Linked DNA regions of Mus musculus: regions 1, 3 and 4 are each reported to be linked to region 2. Evidence: microRNA targets listed by miRTarBase, many of them from high-throughput screens and not tested one by one. Region 2 holds a microRNA gene; each other region holds the end of a gene's coding sequence. Distances are from middle to middle.
The links. Region 2 holds the annotated microRNA mmu-miR-3470b (UCACUCUGUAGACCAGGCUGG, at 2,555-2,575, shown strand). A microRNA usually pairs through its seed, bases 2 to 8, with sites in the 3' UTR of a target mRNA and lowers its output. Matches are read on the target gene's strand: a 7mer-m8 pairs with bases 2 to 8, a 7mer-A1 pairs with bases 2 to 7 and ends in A, and an 8mer does both.

Region 1: miRTarBase lists Fsd1l as a target of mmu-miR-3470b. Seed matches in the 3' UTR shown: 7mer-A1 at 3,854-3,860.
Region 3: miRTarBase lists 2510002D24Rik as a target of mmu-miR-3470b. Seed matches in the 3' UTR shown: 8mer at 1,788-1,795.
Region 4: the mRNA of Lrrc3 is a reported target of mmu-miR-3470b. Seed matches in the 3' UTR shown: 8mer at 2,651-2,658.

The regions. Positions count from the first base shown.
Region 1 is chr4:53,700,036-53,706,154 of GRCm38, reverse strand. It overlaps Fsd1l (fibronectin type III and SPRY domain containing 1-like), which reads right to left. Exons shown (of 13, transcript NM_001195284.1): 13 at 1-5,114. The coding sequence ends at 4,992. Among named protein-coding and RNA genes, the nearest start is that of Fktn, 11 kb to the left of the region's middle.
Region 2 is chr16:44,011,331-44,017,449 of GRCm38, forward strand. It overlaps Mir3470b (microRNA 3470b), which reads left to right and starts at 2,522; the gene lies at 2,522-2,647. Gramd1c (GRAM domain containing 1C) reads right to left here. Exons shown (of 17, transcript NM_001359085.1): 6 at 1,592-1,707.
Region 3 is chr16:18,838,077-18,844,195 of GRCm38, forward strand. It overlaps 2510002D24Rik (RIKEN cDNA 2510002D24 gene), which reads left to right. Exons shown (of 3, transcript NM_001033164.2): 3 at 1,014-2,037. The coding sequence ends at 1,139. Among named protein-coding and RNA genes, the nearest start is that of 2510002D24Rik, 4.6 kb to the left of the region's middle.
Region 4 is chr10:77,895,542-77,901,660 of GRCm38, reverse strand. Lrrc3 (leucine rich repeat containing 3) reads left to right here. Exons shown (of 2, transcript NM_145152.4): 2 at 1-4,086. The coding sequence starts at 61. The coding sequence ends at 834. It overlaps 1700009J07Rik (RIKEN cDNA 1700009J07 gene), which reads right to left. Exons shown (of 2, transcript NR_015547.1): 2 at 5,550-5,819. Among named protein-coding and RNA genes, the nearest start is that of Lrrc3, 3.9 kb to the left of the region's middle.

The DNA.
Region 1 (6,119 bases), not on the chromosome of region 2:
CTTAGTGGAAACCACCCAGTTCACATGAGAGTCCGTTTCACTACACTCCTCACAACAGCCCTGTGAGGTAGGCTAAACAAGGTACAATATTTGAAGTAAGGCAATAGAGGCCCAAGATTGAAGAGTGATTCAGAGAGGTCATAGATTACTGTATGGGGCAGCTATAAAGATTAAGTTTAAATACTTAAAAGAATGCCAAAAATCTTCAAGACTTGCAGTTTTTACCTGAAGTTATTCCCCAACTTTAGCTATTGTATCTTAATAGAATCAGTTATGGATTTGATTTCAAAGAAATTCCATTAAAAGATCAGTTAGTCTCAGTCCTTTGGTATCTTACAGATATTGGAAATGTTAGTAAGAAATTCTTCTCATAGTCCCACACACTTCAAAAAGTTCCAATATTACTAAAATGCCTTTTACCAATTTCTTCCAATTTGATTTATTGTAAAATTGGTTCAATCTTAAGTTCCAAGCCAAGCAAATACATTCACTGACCTCTGCCCTACATACTGCATAAACTTCTACATGTTTATTCCTAAGCACCAACTTGACTATTACTAAGAAAATATATAATTTTAAACAAATATAACTTAAATGATTATGTATCAAAGCTAGTATTATTAACCCAGAAAAAAGTACTCTTTTGATATGGTTGGGTAGTCAGATAAAGTTCTATGGTAATTACTGGTATTGATTACTAAGCCAGTATCATATGGCATGTCCAACGTTCCAATGCGAACAAAAGCAGCAAACAGTCCACTTAAATTCCAACTGGTACAAAGTTCCTATGGTACTCAGGTAATCATCCCGCTCAGGTGACACAATACTGACATCAGAATCACAAATGTGAACACTGTTACGAGACACAAAACTAAACATACAAACATGAGGTAATGTCGCTGTGATGGTTTTCTGTAAGAAAAGCTTTATTACTCTAGGTCTGAGCACTGGAGTTATGAAAAAATATACTGGCTTGAAAACAACAACTTGGTGGTGACATGGATACTGAGTAATTTCATGCTTACTTCTGACAGAATGAATATGATGTAAAAATAAAACAAGAAAAGTAACTTTTCCAAACTTTTTATTATAATGTAAAAGTGAAATATTACTACGAGTAGTTAATTTACAAGCAACAACAAATGTACTTTAAAAAATTTTTAAGGTATGTGTGTGTGTGTGTGTGTGTGTGTGTATGCGCATGCACATGTGCACACACATGCGCAGGTTAAAAGACAACTTGCAGGAGATAAGTCTCCCCTTCCATTTGGGTCCCAGGGAACAAACTCAAGTCATCCAGTTGGCAGCAAGTGCTTTTCTTGTGAGCCATCTCAGCAGCCCATGAATACAGTTTTTAGAAATTTAGTGACATATTAACAAAACATTATTTTTAGATCAAGACTATCAAATCAAAAACATCAGAATGAGGTTCATATGGTGAATTAAACTCTACTACTTTTGCAAACATAGACAGAAAGTAATAAAATTGATGATACATCATAAAAACTTAAGTAGTTATATGAATTATATGCTGATCTAACAAAGATGCTAAAAATCTATGACTAAAACAGTTGAAATTTTAGCCTAGAGTAATGTATTTCATGGTAAGACATCTATACTGCTTTCTTTTAAGATTAATATTCTTTGGAGTAATCACTTCTCATATATATCCCTTTCCAATTTTTAAAAATTGTTTTTGAAAGAAACAACTACAAATACATAGATAGCTATAATTTCATGGAAAAGATATATAGACAAAACTAGGTAATTCTAGATAATTGACCTAATTAAAATATTTCATCATAAATATTTTCTTTTATTATTTATATCAAGGATCAATCATGGAAGTTCAAATTATACATACTATTGTTGATGGTTCGAATTTTTTTAGAATCTTCAGAACAGAATGAGAAGGCTTAGCCTGGCTGTCTAGTAGTTGATGACACACGGCAGAGGTGCTATCAATTAAACGTACAGACAGACAGACAGACAGACAGACAGACAGACACTCTTAACACTTTTTAAAAAGCCTATACCTGGAACATTCAAAAGATCACTGTATTAATATTAATTTCTATGTGCATTAGTCATTAAATACTTGGTATATCCATATTTACCAGTATTTAAAAGATGTGACACAATCAGCTGAGTCAAATGAATTGTAGCAAATTCTTTTTCTAAAGTGCTTAAGGCAGCTCCTTCCTGTCTACTTCCAGCTAAATGAAACTGGTTTGGATTCAACTGCTAAGAGGGAAATACAATACTTAATACATATTTTATGAAGCAGTTCTTCACACTGGTTATATATCCCTTACAGTCCACCTCCCCTATATTTCCTTCATGGAAAGCAGCCATGTCCAAGCTGTGTAAGCAGACATAGAGCAGTGAAGAACGCTGGAGTGAAGAGGGCTGGCCAGCTTGCCACAGCTGACTGAGCTGAGCAGTTACCTTGCTTTGAGAAAATTTAACTAGGCACTCTATTCAATTATTTTAATTTAAAAAGAAGGGTTGACAAAATTCAATTTAACATAATAAACTTAAGATTTTTAAACTTAAATACTACAGATTTGTTCTATTTTTAAAAGAGACCCTGATGTGTATTTTAAAGCAATGAGGGTATAATTAGTACCTAATATCGTGTGATAAGAACTTGGACTCTCATTCACTGACGTTATACTTCATTCTACAAATCTGCTGAGAAATAAAACCTTCTGGGTAACTGTCGTGCGTTTTCCAATGACTGTTTGGAAACTGTAGATGAAGGTCTCAATGATGGGACAAGGACAAGGAAGAAGCACACTTGCTCCTCTGGCCTCAATAGAAGGCCTGCACCACTATGGTCCAGTGTTGCCTGCCTTAAAGTCAGTAGACAATGAGCATGAGAAAAAGGCACTGTATAAATGAGAAGATTCAACTATGCAAGATACAGTATCATAATGAAAAGGTCTATGAAAACAGCTGGCTTTTTCCTTGTCATTTTTGACAAAATAAACTTAGTAGCCACACAAAGCAATTCTAGTAAATCACTGCTTTCAGGTATGAGTCTACAAAAAGGAGTAATTCCTTTTTCCCTAGGTCATGAAATACCATTTCTATAGGTAATGGAACAATGAAAAATGTCTTTCAAACTATAATAAATGAAAAGTAAAATATTGCTTTGGGAAACCAAAAGAATATTGATATACTTCATTCTATAAACTGCCTTAGTCTTAAAAACTACCAGTGTGTTATCAGATAATAGTGTAGATATGTGTGATATGGAGAAATAATATTCTGTCAAATTTGCTTCATCAACAGAACAAAAATAATCATGCTACTAAGTAGTAAATTTTAAGAGCAAATACTTATTATGATCTACAAGCTACATGAAGAAAACAAAAATGAACACTTCTCCAGGGAAGTTTGTCAGAAGTCCAAGAAACTTAAAACAAGAAGAGATTTAGAAGTCTCAAAAATTAATCAGAGATCAAATATTCATTTCTTTAAAGTTCTTAAAGCAGTTTTACAATCTCAACTTCTAGTTTGGCTCAAAAACCTTGAATGAAAAGTTTTAATTGACTTTGTAATAAAAGACTTTTCCGTTAATAACCACAGGTTTTGCTCACTGCTTCCCACATGCCTTCAGATTTGAAAAAGGAAACTATATTCATTTTTGGAAGAATCATAAACTTTTAAACAGTGAATGAATGGACCAAAAAGACAGAAACAAAAACCAAACCAAATCAAAACACCCCTCAAATGATTGTTTGAAAAACACATATACCAATTAAGTAGGACACATTTTGTTTTTGTTTTTGTTTGGTTGGTTTTTTTGAGACAGGGTTTCTCTGTGTAGTCCTGGCTGTCCTGGAACTCACTCTATAGACCAAGCTGGCCTTGAACTTAGAAATTCACCTGCCTCTGCCTCCCAAGTGCTGGGATTAAAGGTATGCACCACTATGCCCAGCTAGGACACATGTTTTTTTTTTTAAACAGCTGGTAAACCAATCCATATCTTTATAAAAGAACATACAAATTATTCCAGAAAAGAATACTTTAGGCACATTTCTTTATAATCTTACACAGACAAAAAACAAAAAAAAACAAAACAAAAAAACAACAAAACCCAGCAATATACAGCTTTTTACCCTTTATAAAGAACTTAATTCACAAACTTTCATAAGCAATAATTATTATCAGTGCCAAATTCAAGTGGAAGTTTTATCAAAGATGCAAAGACAGCTATAAAAGTGGGGTCAAAGCAGAGAACAAACTTAGAGAGCACGGTTTCTCAGGTGGTGCCCAGGAGCTGGTGGAGGAATGGACAGAATGACTCAACACAAACACACAAGAATACTCCTTTGCACTGCCTAAATTCTCTGTCTGCTTGATATTTTTGAGTTATAACTATAAGAAAATACTACAATATTTTAGAGGAGAAAGTGATATGAATCTAGTCAATCCATAAGTTACCCTATCAAAAACTCAGTTTATTTATAAAAGACTAAAATAAGCCACCATAGGTCAATTTCTCTGCCTAGGCAAAGATTTCAATTTCTAGGAAGCCTTGGGGGACCTTGTGTTTTTAAAGCCTCAGTGTAGCATGTAATGACAGCCGGTGAGGAGCAGAAACAGAGCAAGGGCAGGGAGAAAGGCAAGCTTTTAATGCTTAGCAACCCGGGCCCAGGGCTCGCCAGGCGTAATTACACCTACCAGACAAACCAGAGGAGCTTAAGAGACAGAAAGATGGCTTTCTACACAAACAGTTCAACACCGCCCCTTTCCTAATCACTACTCAATATCACTATGTCAGCCTCCTGCACCCCAACTGCTTGATTCTGGGACGCAGGCAATAACCTCCATGGCTGCTTCCTATTTGGTAGTTAATCTAACAGACTCCAGGCTTTAAAGCAGAACATAGAAAACCTGATTCCACCACTCAGAAATATCTGTTAGTAACTGTGTGGGAAAGGCCACACAGTCAAAGGGAAGGGAAACAGTCTGAGTTGCCATTACTGAGTGACATTGTTCAGGCTGCTAGTTGAACCAGTCATTCCGTTTTCACTTTTCTGAAGTGTTCTCACAGCACTTGGAACCTGCATTCCAGTACTCAAAGAAAGTCCACCACACCACACCTAAGAGAAGACAAAAAACAAAGTCTCAGTTAAACTCAAATCCAATTATAACTCCAGTAATCCTTAACTTTCCATTTGAAAGGCAAAATGTCACAGGGATGAACATCAACAAATCCCAAACTGATAAGCTTCGTGCTCGAGCTGAGGAGAGATGAAAAGGCTCACAGCGGCCAAAGGCTGGCTGTGTCGTAGAAGCCACCGAATCTGTGCCCAGGAAAGGGAACACAGGGCAGCGGAAACTCAGGAGAACAAAGCAGATTAACCTCAGCAAGCAATACTGAGTATTGGTACTTCCCTAATGTTTATAACCAGGGGACTGTACCCCTAAGAAGCTTATATCACATTTATGACGTTAATATTGAGACATAGCTTTAGACAGGACATATGATCCTTTGAGACACTTGCCCTGAACAGAACACCAATCACTCATGTCCTAAGATCTCAATTAATAAATAGGACCCCATGAGATGAGAACCGTCTGTAAAGCAAAGGCCCCATCATTAGAACAAAATGGCGGCCTACAAACTGGAAAAAGATTTTCAACAACTCCACATCTGATAGAGGGCTAGTTTCCAAAATATATAAAGAGCTCAAAAAATTAGACATCAACAAACCAAATAATCCTATTAAAAATGGGGTACAGATTTAAACAGGATTCTCAGTAGAGGACTCTCAAATAGACAAGAAGCACTTAAATGTTCAACATCCATAGCCATCAGGGATACGCAAATTAAAACTTCTCCGAGATTCCACTACACCTGTCAGAAGCCTAAGATCAAAAATGCAAGTGACAGCACATGCTGGCTGGGATGTGGAGCAAGGATAATACTCCTCCACTGTTGTTGGAAGCATAAACTTACACAGCCACTTTGGAAATCAATATGGTGGTCTCAGAAAAATTGGCATCAATCTATCTCAAGACCCAGCTATACCACTTCTGGGCATATACCCAAAAGATGCTCCACCATCCCACAAAGACACTTGTTCAACTATGTTCATAGCACC
Region 2 (6,119 bases):
GCTTGTGTCAAGTGGACATAAAATAAAATAAATCAGCACAAGCCCTATTTAACTCTGCCTGAATAATGATTAATAGGCCTGCTACCAGCTCCCTCCTGGATAGGCAGAATTGTGGGACTCCATGGATGCAAGAGAGGAAAATGAAAAAAAAAAAATCCTCTAAATAGCTTACCAGTTGAGTGTGGAGATCTCAGGAGCTTAAGGAGGATGGGAGTTAGAAAGGAGAGAGGAAAGGAAAGAAGGGAATGCAAGAGTGAGAACAGAGACAAAGAACATGGAGAGCTGAGGTTTGAAGCAGACTTCTGTTTTCAGAGGGAAAAGGAGCAAGAGAGAGCCAGGCACGAGGATCCTGCTCCACATTTTCTTAGAAAACAGTCACCCGGAGAAGAAGACAGCTTCACTGGTGACCTCCAATGTGCATGAGAGACTCGGTCTAGATACGTATTCTTTCCTGCTTCAGACGCTACGAAGTTCACAGGTCAGCAGAGACCTTGAAGGCCACTGAATCTAACTGTTCATAGATGGGGAAACTGAGGCCTGGGAATGTCCAAAGGTTTGCCTGAGATATCTCAGCTACAAAGCACAATCCAGATCCTATTGACTCTCAAGGTCCCAAGGCTCTCCGCGTTAGTAACCTGATTTTCTACACCTTTTCGGTACCTAAGGACTACTAGTAAACTTTATTAATGACAGCAGGGTAATGGAAAAATGTGAACTTTACAGGAAAGTTATAAAATATGCATGGGTAGCCATGTGAAAAAAAGACTATAAAAATATTGATGTAAACTGAGACAACATAGGTTGGAGCAGACTGCCCAGAGGAGAGGAGCGTCTGTGTATGTATTCAGACTTTCAACATATTTACATTATAAGATTTGGAGGGCTGCAGAGATGGCTCAGCCGCTACCCGATAGGCAACCAACCAAAAAGGCAAATGGTCCTTGGATCTTGGCTTCTCTCATTTAGCCTAATGTAAAATGCTACAGAATTTTAATGTATTATCTTTGTTTATTGAGGCTATGGTCTCAATTAACATTGATAAGGTACATTTTTTTTTAACTTGGAGAGTTAGTAAAATATTCACACTTCTTAATGAACAGCTGTCCAAATAATCTCTCTACTAATTTCTTTATCACACTATAGCAGCACATGACCCTGACATTACCATTGCTTGCATCCCCCACGGCACGGTCAGCTCCTTTGACTAAGGTGATCGGTGTCTACTGAATGTGGGACACATGCCACGGTGCTAGGGAGACTTTGAGGAAAAGTCATGAAACCACCCTAACCCTCAAATTGCTCTAGTGTCTCCTGTGAGATCTCACCAGCCCCTGCTCCAGATCCTTAATAAAAAGGCTTTCTAGTAGTAAATTCTAAGAGTCATAGCCTCATCTCTAACATTTCTTCACGTCCCACACGTGCTTACCAACTTAGCAAATGAGTCTCTTCTCTCCCAACTTGCACTCTACCAACAAGAGGGCAAACCGCACCAAACGATGAGTTCAAAGAAATTCAGAACTGAAACGACCTACAATGATCCCACTGTGATGGGCCATAATGCACCTTGACACTCTACGTTGCTTCACTGTACCTTGGCTGCACATTTTCTTCAACTGATAACAAGTGTTCCATTTCTTCAGCGTTTAAGCCTAGCTCCGTGCCATAGTTCTGCTGGAGCAGTTGCCAGAACTCCTGTCTGGTCAGGCTCTAAGATGACAGAAACATTGCGTGACTATTGGAAAATGCAACAGATAACGTAACTGTAATTCAAAGCACAAAGGCCAAAGTCAGAGGAGCCGTGGTGTGAGCAGTCAAGGTGTGGCTCGGATAGATCCTGGCCTATTTGTCTCCCTATTTTCTATTTTTAAAAAAAAGGGTTAATGGGAGCTGGGCATAATAGCTTAGTGGTTGAGAACTGCATATCATCCACAAGGCTCTGCAGAGCTCCATCCCCATCGCTGAAAAGGAAAGGTTAAATATGCCCATTTGATAAGAGACATTCAAGAGGAAGTCCCATGGATAAGAGCACTGGCTGCTCTTCTAGAGGACCTGGGTTTGATTCCCAGCACCTGCATGGTGGCTCACAACCACCTATGACTCCAGTTCCAGGGGATCTTCTGGCCATCTCAGGCGCACGAGTGGTGCACAGACCTATATGTAGGCAAAAATGTAAGAATAAATAATTAAACCAAGAGTTAAATCGATAAACAGATAATCGTTTCTCACAGGGTTTAACCACATTCTCAAGGCCGATCTTGGGCTTGAGCTATTCTCCAAAGAAGTTGAAACTAAAAGGCACATTCCACTTAGAAAATGGTGGGTTTTCAAAGTGTGTATTAAAGAGGCTACTGTGCAGAAGTACACTTCAGTAAAGATGCTTAAAGTGATTTTTTTTCTATAAAAGTAAGTTACTTATCATTTCTGCTAATTACTGATCTGAAATCCATACAACCTATGATCACAATTCAGAGTTGTCCTAAATGTTAACTCAGAACCAAATTTTTTTTTTTTTCCGAGACAGGGATTCTCTGTGTAGCCTTGGCTGTCCTGGCACTCACTCTGTAGACCAGGCTGGCCTTGAACTCAAAAATTCACCTGCCTCTGCCTCCCGAGTGCTGGGACTAAAGGCATGCGCTACCAATGCCCGAGAACCAAAACTTCTAATTCACGATTGTATCTGAATATTTTAAGCATTTTTAGAACTTTGCACACCAATGAGCTCCAAATTACATTTTCCTAAAATATAAAATGCAAGAAAACAACCTTCAGAATACTAATTTACTTTTAGTAAATTCTAGCTTGCTTCCTTTATAGACAGCATGTCAGTGGTAAAGTTACCAAGTACAGCCGAGAAATGTACCCGTGGTTAAGAGTGCTTGCTGCTCCACCAAAGGACCAGTGGCCACATCCTAGCTCCCACATGAGGCAAGTCACAAACATCTGTAAATCTGTAACTCCAACTGACACACCCTTCGGGATTCCATGGGCATCACACACACACACCGACCCACTTAAAAAAAAAAAAACCTTAATCACCAAATAAAGCAAGCTGTAAACTATTTGGGAAAATAACATCATATCATAGTAACAGACTGGTCTCCGGGAACATTGCAATTAATTACATGATTAAGCAAGACAAGAGAGAGAGACAGCATGGTACTTGAAGCAACTGTCAATACGATCTTCCATCCATTCCACAGGTCTTTATTGGGAATGAAACCTGTGGCACCGCTCTAGATCCAAAGGGTATAAAAACAATCTCCGAATTTAGTACTCATGTCTGAAGGATACAGGGCACTCTTAAATCAGATGCACATGATCATGTGCTAATGGGCTGGAAGAGTCTATGGGATAGGGAAGTGCAAAAGGAGTTAATATTATTGAGGACCAAGGTGGCCAGATGAGGCTCCACCGAGGAGATAGGCTTCTGGGTAAGCTAGAGGACAGACGGATTCGTGAAGAAAAACTAGAAGAGATGGAGAGAAGACGACCAACCCATAGGGAGGGCAGAGATGGACAGAAGTAACATTAGTTATGAAGCTAGCAAGTAAGTCATCTCCTAGCCCAATCAGAGAAATGTTTCAAAGTTAAGAGGTTGAATGTAAAAATATATAATGGGGCCAAATGTATAAAGGCCCTGAATTCAGCCCCGGTGTTCAGCCCCTACAACAACCACCACCGCCTTTCCCTCCTCCCAGGAGCAGCTCTGTGTCCTGGTTTTTACTAGATGACTCTCCTTACACTTCATGGAACCAGGGAGCTTAAAAGGAAAATGGTCTGGACTTGCGGCAGCTATATCCCAGTTTGCCAAGATGACCACAAAACCAGCTGATGACAATTCAGATGTCATTATCTACACTTCAAAAATGTCAAAAATATTCAAAAACCTGCAATAAAGGAGGCAAGCTAAGAAAAACATGCCTCTTTGCTTCCAGCTGATTATGTGAACGCGGAGTAGAAATCCCAGGTTGGAGAACTCTAACTGAAAAATCACACATCTAGAAAACAAACTCTGCGATGCTCTCTATTTCCTACAACTGTCCTTTTAGCGGATGAAGTCTTCTCAAGTAGAATATCCAGAGAAGAAAAATATAAAGGCCCATTAGTGACAGTTAAGGATGCTCCTGTCCTTGGTCCTAAAGGGACTCGCCTTCTACCCCAGAGATTCTGTGTGGATTCTGTTTTCATAACAATAATTCATACTGTGAATTAACTAAGTCTTCCAGAGACATCATCATTGGAACCGTTTTCATATCGCAAAAGGATGGTTAGATAGCTTTACCAGAAGAAGGCGATTTTTCAGCACAACTGTGTTAGATTATTAACCGTTCACAAAAACTTTTTTTGAAATAATAGACGTTTCCGAAGATAAAAACTAAAGCAAACAAATGACTTGGTGGTGAACACTCAGCTTCCTAACGGTAAAAGACATGCAACTGGCGAGCAAAACCTGAGAACAAAATGCTATTTAAGTTAATTAGCAAGATAATTTCAACATACATTTTCATCCATTAGTTAAATGTAAATACATAATTGGTTAATGGGAAACAAAACAAAACTCATTTAATTCATGGTGCTAATTTGTTAAAAATGACTATTTCTGCAAGGTTGTCCAGCTGTCTCAAAAACGTGACTATTTACAATCACGCTATTCAAACATGCCAGTCTGATAGTCGCAACTTTTTCAGTATTTAGCAGCTGAGCCTTAAAAAAAAACAAAAACCGACCTAAATATTATTTGAAAGTCGACCACCTACCTGCAAAGGAGCGGAGCGGCTCTGGGTTCAGCCTGCAGATAGATAACTTGAGCAAAATAAAGATGAACCAAGCAGTAATCAGATAGGAGTCAAAAGTCAGCAGATCAATTTCTGGCCCAGAAAGCTTGGTATTCTAAGTACTCTATGGAGTCTTTATCCACAGTTAGAGCTTCAAAACTTTGATAACAGCTAAGCAAACTCGGTACTTCAGTTTCCTACTCTTTACGGGGCTCTTCGCCACGTAAAAGCCAGTGCTGTGTGAAGCTTCAGTTGTTGCTTCCTGGTTCTGAGCACCAGCCCTCTTTCCAGGGGGCCGGTCAGCCTGCAGAGCTGAAGTCACACCTCACTCGACAGGTTCCTAAGCCACGCCCACTGGAAGAGGCTAGGGAAAGAATGTTTTATTAAAGGGACGGTTCCGAATTTCTTCTACTGTACACGCTGATTAGCGACAGGGTGCAAATGGAAAGATCTTACATTTGCTCAAATAATGTAAAACACCTACTGCAATATTATTTTAACCCCACGTGAAAATTAACTATGTTAAAACTTAACCTCCCCATGACAACAGTTTTCAATTCAACTCTAGCGAGTCATTGATACCTATTCTTATTCCACATCAGCACTGACCAGTATTCGCTTCAGACTCCTGCCATCACAGCTAGCATAGATCCTATCCTGAGTACCCTAAATGGAATGTTGGGGAGTAGTCGGAAGAGCCAGCTCTTCAGGTGAGGCATTCGGCATGGCTTTCGTCACTGCAAAGTTTAAGGTGACGTCTCGATTACTCGATGACTCTTTACCTTGAAAACATCTCTGGCTTTAGTTCATTCAGAACAATTTCCTGGCAGAGTCCTGGACTATAACGAATAGGACACAGAGTCTCATCTACCAATTTTAATTTTTCCAAAAGAGAAATGTTTTAAATGAGAAATCAAGACTTGCCCTAATTTCTAACAGTTCTCTCTGTTAATTTAGTAAAGTGTACCTTCGGGTCAAATGTTGCTTGACTGACTACCAAGACCAGCTTTGAGAATACTAACGTCTAATGGCTTTACCAAGGTGACACTGAAGGGTCCCACACCCTCCTGTCAACCTAGTGTGGGTGGCACACACCTTTAATCCCAGCATTCAGGAGGCAGAGGCAGGTGGATCTCGTAGTCTACATTGTGATACAGTGAGTTCTAGGACAGTTAGAGCTACATAATAAAAAGACCTTACCAAGGAAGAAAGAAAGAAAGAGAGAGGGGGGGGGAGGGAGGGAGGAAGGAAGGAAGGAAGGAAGGAAGGACTCCACTCTTTCCTCTTCCTGGGAAGGAGGCACACTGGAGGCCGGCTTCCACTATGAAACTTTGGTGTATTGTA
Region 3 (6,119 bases), 25 Mb from region 2:
ACGTCTCCATCTCCTGAGTGCTGGGACTACAGGCATTCACCCACATACTAGGCCCCTATTTGCTTCTTTGTTTTGTTTTGTTTTGTTTTGTTTCGAGACAGGGTTTCTCTATATAGCCCTGGCTGTCCTGGAACTCACTCTGTAGACCAGGCTGGCCTGGAACTCAGAAATCCTCCTGCCTCTGCCTCCCAAGTGCTGGGATTAAAGGCGTGTGCCACCACTGCCCGGCTCCTATTTGCTTATTAAGTAATAATGATCATGTGATCATGTTAGAGATGGGGTCTGGCTGTATAGCCCAGGCTGGTTTGGAACTTCAGATCCTTTTGGCTTTGTCTGCCAACTGTTGGGAATACTACCGCTCCCAGTTTAAGAATGTTTGTAAAGAGGCCTACATAGCACCTGACACTTTGCCAGGATCAGCCCTGTCATAATACACTGTCTAGTGTCTGTTGGCAGTGGCTGAAAGAAGCTGGCAGGATGGGGGGCACCTTTTACACATACCCTGTGCAGAGTCCAACAGTAATTTTAGACGCTCTCCCTCTCTTCCCCACCCAGTGTCCTCACTCCCAGGCTAGGCGGGTAACTAGCTCCACACTCTCCAGGTCTGCTGTTGCTGAGGCTTAGCGGGTTTTGCATGGCTGAAGGCAGAGACTGAACATAGTTGTGCATGCTTATAATTGCGGCACTCGGGAGGTGGAGACAACAATCTCAGAATTGAAGGTCATACATAGTGATCTTGAGACCAGCCTGGGCTACTTGAGACCCTGTCTAAAACATGTCCAAAGAACACAAAATAAAACTGCTGAAGTAAGATGACCGGTGTGTGCTAAAACAGAACAGTTGCCAAGGAGTGTGGTATAGAAGCAGCTGAGCCTGTGTGTACCATGTGCTCCCATGTGTTCCTCTCTTCAGAAGAGTGTTGAGGAAGAGGGTGATATAGGTGCCATGCAGCAGTACTAAGAGCCCTAGGATCCAGTGGTGAAACAGTAAGTGACCAAGTCTCATTTGTACAGCGATCCCTCTGTGAGAGCGAGCAGGTTCGGGTCCAGGCTGCTCAGAAGCACACCTTGGTATGGGCCTTGAGGCAAAGGCCCCCTACGGACTGGAACCTCCCTCTACCACAGGAGAAGGACAAGTGATAAGCAACTGCAACCCTACCCTTGACCTAGACTTTGACTGGCTCTTACTTGACCTGGAACACAGAGCAAAGCATTTCCAGCCCTAATTGCCTGCTGCCCACTGGATCTGGGCATTTCATCACTGTAATACTCTGAAAGACACCTGTGTGCACATGCTGGAAGCCAAGCACTGAGGCAGGTGTCTGTGAGCACTCAGGTGGGTCCATTCTGTCCATGCCATCTCCCCTGAGAACATCAACACCAGATGTGGCAGCCGAGAGTTGTGAAAATCTCAAGTACACAGTGGCAGCCCCAACCTGTGTGGATCCAGGGCACAGTAGTTAGAATAAGGTTGCTAGACTACCTTATTTTGATTATGAATGACCCTCCTTGGCCATGAGAGATGGACTGCAATGTCTTGTCTAGTGATTATCGTGGTATGCAAGTGCGGAGCTCATGCTTGCTCAGCTTCCCTGGAGACACGGAAGAGCATGCTCAGTGGGTAGGCAACTTGTCCTCTGCACCAGCACCTTTTACTGGTTTTGCAGACTTTGAAAGAAAGAGAGAGAGAGAGAGAGAGAGAGAGAGAGAGAGAGAGAGAACTGGGTGGTGGTGGCCCACGCCTTTAATCCCAGCACTCGGGAGACAGAGGCAGGCCAGCCTGGTCTACAGAGTGAGTTCCAGGACAGCCAGGAGCTACACAGAGAAACCCTGTCTCGAGAAAAAAAAAAAAAAAAAAAAACAACAACAAAAAAAAGAAAGACAGACAGACAGACAGCATTGCAGGAACCAAGGAGTCTGGAATCAAGACATCCAAGTCCCAAGGCACAGACAGAGCTCAGGTCCAAGGACTATGGGGTTTAGGTCTCCTGATTTCTCCTCATTGTTAATGTATTTTTTTAAAAAAGCTGCTTCACATGTTTGATTCCAAAAGCAACCTGAAAATTAAAGCCATGTGACACTTTATACCTGTCTCAATTAGGGTTTCTATTGCTGCTTTGAAACACCATGACCAAAAGCAAGCTGGGGAGGAAAGGATTTAATTTATTCAGATTATATTTCCACATTGTATTCCAAAATCAAGATAGAGACTCAAACAAGGCAGAAACCAGAGGCAGGAGGTAATACAGAGGCTCTGGAGGGGTGCTGTTTCCTGGCTTGCTCCTCAAGGATTGCTCAGCCTGCTTTCTTACAGAACTCAGGACCACCAGTCCAGTGATAGCACCACCCACCAAGGGTGGGACCCTCCCCATCAATTACTAATTAAGAAAATGCCCTACAGGGGCTGGTGAGATGGCTCAGTGGGTAAGAGCACCCGACTGCTCTTCTGAAGGTCCAGAGTTCAAATCCCAGCAACCACATGGTGGCTCACAACCATCCTAATGAGATCTGACTTCCTCTTATGGAGTGTCTGAAGACAGCTACAGTGTACTTACATATAATAAATAAATAAATCTTTAAAAAAAAAAAAAAAAAAAGAAAATGCCCTACAGCTGGAATTTATAGCAGCAGCATTCTCAACTAAGGTTCCCTCCTTTCAGATAACCTAGCTCAGTGGTTGTCAACCTTCCTAAGGCTGTGACCCTTTTATACAGTTCCTCATGTTGTAGTAATGCCCAAACCATAAAATTATTTTCATTGCTACTTCATAACTGTAATTTTGCTACTGTTATAAATCAGAATGTGGGCTGGTGAGATGGCTCAGCGGTTAAGAAGAGCACTGACTGCTCTTCCAGAGGTCCTGAGTTCAATTCCCAGCAACCACATGGTGGCTCACAACCATCTGTAATGAGATCTGACAACCTTTTCTGGTGTGTCTGAAGACAGCTACAGTGTACTTTTATATAATAAACAAACAAACAAACAAATATTTAAAAACAAAACCAAACAAACAAAAACCACCATGACCAGCTACAGTGTACTTACATATAATTAATTAATTAATTAATTAATTAATTAAATCGGAATGTAAATCTCTGATATGCAGGATACCTGATATACAACCCCTGTGAAAGGGTTGTTCAACCCCTAAAGATGTCGAGACCCACAGGTTAAGAACCATTGCTACCTTGTGTCAAGTGGACATACAGCTATATAACCAACAATGCTATATGCTATATACTCAGATTATTATTTTGTTCTCTTATAGTGTTTTAAATATATACTTAAATATACACATGTGTGGCTGCATGCATACACAAAAATATATGCATGAACATAAGTCCACACATGTGTGCACATTTGTGAGCATGCACACATGCATATACTATACTCATGAACACACATGCACACACACACATGTGCACACAAACATGCACTCATGCATGTGCACATGAATGAGTATGCACAATACACCCATGTATACAACATACACACGTGTGTACTCATATAGCTGAATAAGCAGTCACATACATACACATGCATACATGAATGCATACACTCAAACACACTTACAAAAGTGCATACATTCAGAAGATGGCCTAATTGGCCATCATTGGGAAGAGAAGCCCCTTAGTCTTGCAAACTTTATATGCCTCAGTACAGGGGAACGCCAGGGCCAAGAAGTGGGAGTGGGTGGGTTAGGGAGTAAGAGGGGAGGGTATGGGGGACTTTTGGGATAGCATTTAAAATGTAAATGAAGAAAATACCTAATTTTTTAAAAGTGCATACATTCATACAAGCACACATACACAGACGTGCATGTACATACACATAGACACATACATACACACACAAGAACACTAGGTCTCATAGAGGTTTCTTTATTTTTTTAATGTTTTAGAGATTTATTTCTTTTTTTTTTCCATTTTTTATTAGGTATTTAACTCATTTACATTTCCAATGCTATACCAAAAGTCCCCCATATCCACCCACCCCCACTCCCCTGCCCACCCACTCCCCCTTTTTGGCCCTGGTATTCCCCTGTACTGGGGCATATAAAGTTTGCAAGTCCGGGCTGGTGAGATGGCTCAGTGGGTAAGAGCACCCGACTGCTCTTCCGAAGGTCAGGAGTTCAAATCCCAGCAACCACATGGTGGCTCACAACCATCCGATCACGAGATCTGACTCCCTCTTCTGGAGTGTCTGAAGACAGCTACAGTGTACTTATATATAATAAATAAATAACTCTTTAAAAAAAAAAAAAAAAAAGTTTGCAAGTCCAATGGGCCTCTCTTTCCAGTGATGGCCGACTAGGCCATCTTTTGATATATATGCAGCTAGAGTCAAGAGCTCCGGGGTACTGGTTAGCTCATAATGTTGTTCCACCTATAGGGTTGCAGATCCCTTTAGCTCCTTGGCTACTTTCTCTAGCTCCTCCATTGGGAGCCCTATGATCCATCCATTAGCTGACTGTGAGCATCCACTTCTGTGTTTGCTGGGCCCCGGCATAGTCTCACAAGAGACAGCTACATCTGCGTCCTTTCAATAAAATCTTGCTAGTGTATGCAATGGTGTCAGCGTTTGGATGCTGATTATGGGGTGGATCCCTGGCTATGGCAGTCTCTACATGGTCCATCCTTTCATCTCAGCTCCAAACTTTGTCTCTGTAACTCCTTCCATGGGTGTTTTGTTCCCAAATCTAAGGAGGGGCATAGTGTCCACACTTCAGTCTTCATTCTCCTTGAGTTTCATGTGTTTAGCAAATTATATCTTATATCTTGGGTATCCTAGGTTTGGGGCTAATATCCACTTATCAGTGAATACATATTGTGTGAGTTTCTTTGTCAATGTGTTACCTCACTCAGGATGATGCCCTCCAGGTCCATCCATTTGGCTAGGAATTTCATAAATTCATTCTTTTTAATAGCTGAGTAGTACTCCATTGTGTAGATGTACCACATTTTCTGTATCCATTCCTCTGTTGAGGGGCATCTAGGTTCTTTCCAGCTTCTGGCTATTATAAATAAGGCTGCTATGAACATAGTGGAGCATGTGTCCTTCTTACCTGTTGGGGCATCTTCTGGATATATGCCCAGGAGAGGTATTGCTGGATCCTCCGGTAGTACTATGTCCAGTTTTCTGAGGAACCGCCAGACTGATTTCCAGAGTGGTTGTACAAGCCTGCACTCCCACCAACAATGGAGGAGTGTTCCTCTTTCTCCACATCCTCGCCAGCATCTGCTGTCACCTGAATTTTTGATCTTAGCCATTCTGACTGGTGTGAGGTGGAATCTCAGGGTTGTTTTGATTTGCATTTCCCTGATGATTAAGGATGTTGAACATTTTTTCAAGTGCTTCTCTGCCATTCGGTATTCCTCAGGTGAGAATTCTTTGTTCAGTTCTGAGCCCCATTTTTTAATGGGGTTATTTGATTTTCTGAAGTCCACCTTCTTGAGTTCTTTATATATGTTGGATATTAGTCCCCTATCTGATTTAGGATAGGTAAAGATCCTTTCCCAATCTGTTGGTGGTCTTTTTGTCTTATTGACGGTGTCTTAGAGATTTATTTCTATGAGTACACTGTAGCTATTTCTAGACACACCAGAAGAGGGCTTTACAGATGGTTGTGAGCCACTATGTGGTTGCTGGGAATTGAACTCAGGACCTTTGGAAGAGCAGTCACTCATGGTGAAAACCCCACACCATACTAGGCTGGTAATTCTCCAGGGCTATGTAGTGAGATTGTATACAGTCTGATCAACACATAGATGAATGCAGATATAATTGAGGAAATCGAAATGCTCTGTGGAGTAATAAGGTGAGTTTCTGGGTCCTGACGCTCTTGTAATGTGTTGATGTCCATCAAGGAAAGAAAGAAAAGAACTTTTAGAGTTGTTTAACCAAGAGCAAGTTCTTGTTTGAATTCTTTATGTTCCCTATGCCTTCGGTATATGAGCCTGAATCTGTGTCTGCGTGAAGGCTGTCTTGTGAATCTGTCCCTGTTTTTGTCTGTTGTTTCTATGTGTCTGTCTCTGACAAAGGGTTTTGCTCTGTTATTGAACCACACAGAAAGCATCAAACGGGAGGAATGAAGGATGCTTTACAGAATTCTTTAACAGA
Region 4 (6,119 bases), not on the chromosome of region 2:
GAAGGACAGTCGCTTGCACATCCCAGTGGAGAAGAGCTACCTGGGTCAGGTGGAGGCAACATGGGCCCCAGGGGCAGGCAGAGCCCCTCAGCCACACTGGCCCCCTCCCAGGGGTCTTGCTTCTTCATCCTCTTCTGCTTACGGTTAGGTGCCTCCTGCCCACAGGCCTGCCAGTGCCCTGACCATGCTGGGGCCGTGGCTGTCCATTGCAGCTCAAGAGGGCTGCAGGAGATCCCTAGGGACATCCCAGCCGACACGGTGCTTCTGAAACTAGACGCCAACAGAATCTCCCGAGTCCCCAATGGAGCCTTCCAACACCTGCCTCAGCTGAGGGAGCTGGACCTGTCCCATAATGCCATTGAGGCCATTGGGCCAGCAGCCTTCTCAGGTCTGGCTGGGGGCCTGCGGCTGCTGGACTTATCCCACAATCGCATCCGAAGAATTCCAAAGGACGCCCTGGGCAAGTTGAGTGCCAAGATCCGCCTGTCCCACAATCCACTGCACTGTGAGTGTGCCCTGCAGGAGGCCCTGTGGGAACTAAAGCTGGACCCGGACTCCGTGGATGAAATTGCCTGCCACACCTCAGCGCAGGAGCAGTTTGTGGGCAAGCCGCTGATCCAGGTCCTGGACTCAGGTGCCAGCTTCTGCAGTACCCACCGGAAGACCACCGATGTCGCCATGCTGGTCACCATGTTCGGCTGGTTTACCATGGTGATTGCCTACGTAGTGTACTACGTACGCCACAACCAGGAGGATGCCAGACGACACCTGGAGTACCTGAAGTCCCTGCCTAGTGCTCCAGTCTCCAAGGAGCCTCTTAGCCCTGTGCCCTAGCACCCACCTCCGGTGGGCCACTGAGCCTGGCTACCCTGTCTTTCTGCAGCAGGTGGAGGTGATGGTGCTCTTGTGTCCCCAGGGAGGTGCATTGCAGCTGTTCAGCCCAAAAAAGCACTTTCATAGTTGGTATTTGGTCCCTGCAGCCACTGCCTAACACTGTAGCGGGGGGAGGGGGGTTTGCCCATCTTAATGGGTAGGTAAATGGAGGTCGAGAGAAACGGAACTCCTTGCCAAGGCTGGCTTCAGCTGCCACTTAAACCCAGGCTGTTTGTGGTATAGGTCTGTGAGCCGTCTGATCTGCCAACCTCCCTTTCCCACACCATGCTGTGGGAAGTAAATACTTGTGCACGCAAGGATGGGGGCCCTGGCAGGGAGGATGGCGCCAGCAGTTTTGCCACCGGGGAATGGCTCATTTCTGTTTACCCCTGCTCTCCCAGTACATCTGAACACAGAGATGTTTGCCCTTTCCCAGAGCAAAGTACCGGCAATCTAGACCTTTCCAGAGAGGTCAGTGCAAAGTCCAGCCTGCACTGGTCTGCTCTGACCTTTGTCCTGGGAGTTCTTTAGTTGCCCTTGTGCCAAAATGTCAGTCCATCGAGAGGGAGAAAATGGAGAAACGTGAGAAAGGTCCAGCATGGGCTCACCATGGCCGTGTCAGCTGCTAGACCACTTATGGGCTGCCTCAGCTTCTGCCACTTCTATCCATTCCTGGGCAGTGGAAACCTGTCAACCTCGGTGGCTCTTGTGCCTTGCTTTCTACTGCCAATATCTAAAGCAGCTGTTTTTTCAGAAAGAGGAGGGACTGAAGTTTGAGGTTGCCATGCCAGTCAACAGGAACTGCTTTTCTCTAGCAACAAGAACCTTCTCTTCACCTCGCTGAAATCCCAGAGCTCACTGATCAACTTTCTTACCTGTAATTACTTCATCTTCAGGGGTAGATGTTCTAGCCACCTAACTAGACTTGACTTCCAGTTTTGTTATTTACTGTCCTTTTGTATAAGTGTTTATACCCTAAGCTATGTCGTCATCGAGTATCTGGGAGAAGTAAATGAGCATAGTGTGTGTGTCTGTGTGTGTGTGTGTGTGTGTGTGTGTGTGTGTGTGTGCTGAGTATAGGGTCTAGATGCCGCTCTGAGCAGAAATTGAATGTGGCTTCTGTGTGTGCTGGGAATTTTCTTGTGATCTGCAGGGGCAAGGTGAGACTATGTTGGGGGCCTGGCCTGACTTGGTCCTTACCGTCAGTGTGACCCACAGTTCTGTCACCATGTGACACACTTGCCTGAGGCTACATGGCTGTCAGCTGCAAAAGTATATGGAAGAGAAAAACACTCATGAATTCCAGACTTTCCCCACTGCTGAATGCCCACACCTACATGGTGACCGTGGGGCCACCATGCCTGGCATCTGCAGGGTGAACAGAGCCCTGGATGAGCTCCCAAGCTGTCCACTATTCTTCCACAGCCCTGGGCCAAGCTACACTGTCTTCAGGGTCAGACCCTGGCGGAGCTAGTAGGACCATTCCCATTCCCATGAGAATTGGAACCTCGAAGCAGCCTCCTTAGGGACACCAGTCAACGTTGTGATGCTGCCTGGCCCCCATTGGCACAGACATGCTCAATACCCAGTACCCAGTTAAGTGTTCAGAGGAGGCAGGTGCTGAGGGCTGTATGATTTGGACCCTGGAGGGTGCTGTGCCAAGGAAAAGAGGTTAAAAAGCCAGAGCTGAGCCAGGCAGTGGTGGCGCACGCCTTTAATCCCAGCACTTGAGAGGCAGAGGCAGGCAGATTTCTGAGTTCAAGGCCAGCCTGGTCTACAGAGTGAGTTCCAGAACAGCCAGGGCTACACAGAGAAACCCTGTCTCGAAAAAACCAAACCAAACCAAACAAACAAACAAAAAAAAGCCAGAGCTGAGGGCTTGGATTAAGGACCAGGTACCACCCTGGTGCTGTGGCAGTGCTGAAGTAGCTATCTATGTATGTCCCATGGACAGGGACACCTCTAGCCTGACACATACTCTGGGAGGTGCCAGTGCAGAGGGTATGGCTTGCATTCCTATTACCATGTGGTGGGGACGGTAGCTGCTTCCAGGCAGGGGCACAAGTTGGGAGGTAGCTGGCCCCTGCGGCCTTTCTACCATCCTACTCAGTAGAGGGACCCTGTTTCTGGAGCTTGCCACTATCCAGCATGTCTGTCCCATCGACAAAACCAGGTCAAAAAAGAACATGGGTGGAGGCCTGGTGGTGAAGTCTGTAGCTGCTCTTGTCCCAGAAACACCCTATTGGGTCTTTTAGATACACCGGTGTAGGTAGGGCTCCGTCCCAGGCTGCTCAACCCACTGCCAGGCTTGCTGCTCTTAACCTAGGGCTTAGCCCTACCTGGTTGCACATCTATACAGCTCCTGCTCAGCCCTTGCTGGAAAGAGGAGATGGGAGACTCAGGAGAGTATGGACCCTGGAGAGAGCATGCCCTGTCCTCCTATAAGGAGGACCTCAGAGACCTCAGCACTCTCCTGCTCATCCAAGCTTCCAACCCTGCTGCCTCAGAGTCTTATCTCCCTGTCGTCCCATTCCATGTCATTCATTCATGTATATAGATACCCTTCCCTTCCTTCCCATGACCAACTCACAGGCTAAGTGTATGAGGCTGGAGCCTCTGCTGGAGACTTGCAGATGTGGATGGTTGCATTGAAACTGTCTTTCTCCCTGGATCCCACCTGCTTCCACCAGCTTCACCTTCCTTCTCTCCTTGAATGAGATATTCTCCTCCCCCAACTCTGCACAGACCCTCTAGATCTCCAGGACTCTGGGTCAGTCCTCCCCTACTCTGCGCATCTCCACCCCCACCCCACCCCGACTTGAGTGTTCCTCAGGCACAGTGGGCGGGGTTTTTTTTTGTTGTTTTTATTTTTGCCACATGGCTCAGTGTCCTGCCCCATCCTCACCCCCATCAGTATAAACCTATCATCCCAGGTCCCACCCACTGGCTCCTTTGGGCACTTTCCCTCCCACTAGTTACATGTGATTGCCTAAGACACGGTTTAAATTGAAATCCTTGGGTGGGGTTAGAGGTTGAGGGGTGGTAAGTCACAGACTGAGATGGAATGTTCTGAGCCTGTGGCAGCTCTCAGGACTAGGACTAGGCTCCTAGGATGGCTTCTATGTTGCCTTTCTTGGAAGCTCAGCCCCGAACCTGATTCTGTCCTCTCCCAGCCTCTCTGTGAGCCCTCAATAAAACTTTTTGTGCAGGAAAGCTGATTGGGATTCTGTCATCTTCAATTCTAGCCGACACCCATCCCTCACGACCGTGTCAACATCTGTCTGCAGGTCCTCACAGCTGGGAGGGCATCTTCAACTAGCTAGACAACTGATTGTCATAGTTAGATCATAATGGCCGTCATTAAGTTTTCAGGAATTCTGGGAGCCAGCTTGTACCATGGTGCCTTGAATCTGACCACGTAGAGGCTCGACGCCAAGGAAATTGGTAAACATCACATGTCAGAATCCCACCCTCATAATCCTTGGAAGCAGTTATTATTTGACAGCACTCTGTGTGAGAACAGTTCAGCGTGGCCTCCAGGCTGAGCCAGCAGCACCCGGATAGCCACAGTGCGGGTGGCTCCCACAAAGCCATGATCCTTAGGCCACACTGTCATGCCAAAGATAACTTTTCTGAATCTTCAGGATTTGATTTCTCAAGGGCCATGGCCCTTGGGATTCACCATCTATGGATGCTTATTGTCTCCTGACAGCTTTGTATCCCTGCTCTGAGGTCACGGCTGCCCGCCTGTCTGCCTCACCAACTTTTCCAACTGCTGTTTCCAGATGCCCTATCTGGAGACTTTGTGTCCCCACAGATGGTCTGGTACCCACCTACCAGCCTGGGTTATCCCTTCCTACTTTCTATCCTGCCTTGTTCTCTGGGTTCTGGGCTGGACAATGGATGCAATCTCTTTCCCTCTGTAGAATGCTTTTCTGCCATGGAGCACTCTCACACCCAAGTCAGTTTTCAGTTAATGTGGCTGGAAGACCCAAAGAGTGTTCACATCACCCGTCAGCCTGTCTCCCTTCCCTGCAAACTGGCTTGTCCCTTCTAGGAAACCTTCAGTGTAGCCAGAGTGGAGTCCAGGAGCTTCCACAATCTGCAAGTGCACACACACACACACACACGTATACACACATACATAAATACATGCATATGCATTTCCACTACATGTAAGCCAGACAGACACAGAGATATTGTTACACTCATGTGAGTGTACACAGGCTCACATGCAGATTTAGAGGCATGCACTACATTTCTGCACACATGCACCTGTCATTGCATCCATCCCTCACTCCTGGCCCACTGTGTCTGTGGTCTTTGGAGGGAGTGTTAATCTGCACCTCGCCCCTCCCCCCAGGCCTCTAGAGGCAGTTGCCTGCTTAAGGGTCTCTTCTGTAGCAGCATCTATTTGACTTTTCCAGAATCCAGAGGTGGCGGCTGCTTTCCTGGGATTCTGAGGAATTTTGTAGCTCTCTGGACTTGCAATGGACCCCTTGGCCTTGCACACCACAGGCTAGTGTTGGAATCAGAGGAAAGGATTTGCTTTGGAAAGGGCCTCTGGGTGGTACCAAGGGCAAAGCTATGGGCAGGGGTGGGTGGGAGATCTGAAGGTCGGTTGCATCCAGGGAGCTCTGGCAGGGCTGAAAAAAATCCCATGACTCTGGGAGTCTAGCATTGGGCTAGCAGCAGCCCTTAGGACACTATCTTTACTCAGGACATGGGCCACTGGGAGGGTACCTCAGCCTCCACATGACAGGACCAGCTTGCTTTCAAGGGCATTTTAGTTGGTTCTTACAGTGGTTGGTTGGTCTGCTTCAGAGAAGGGTGTTGAAGTTCAGAAGAAGCGATGTGCTTGCTTAGTGGTGGCTGGCTTCTGGCAGCTTGGGCTGGAATCTGCATCTCTGATGGCTGGCCTGGACACTGTCACTTGGGAGTTGGGCCTTGGGGTGTTGTCAAAACAAAAGACCAGAGCTTGGTTGACTACAGATGGAAGAAAGGCCAGCCGCCAGTGTGTGAGGCAAAACAGACTGGTTCATGTTCCCGAAACCTGTCTGCATGGCCGCCACAGCCAGGGGCAGGATGCTTCAAGCTTAAACTGGCTCTGCCCTTGTAACCATGGCAACAATACTGCCCAGAAAGGGAGCGGACACCCAAGTGTCACTGGGTGACATTAGCCATCAGAAGTAGCCATGTGCTGCCACTGGGACCAGTGGAGGCCATCTTACCCCCTCCCTTACATT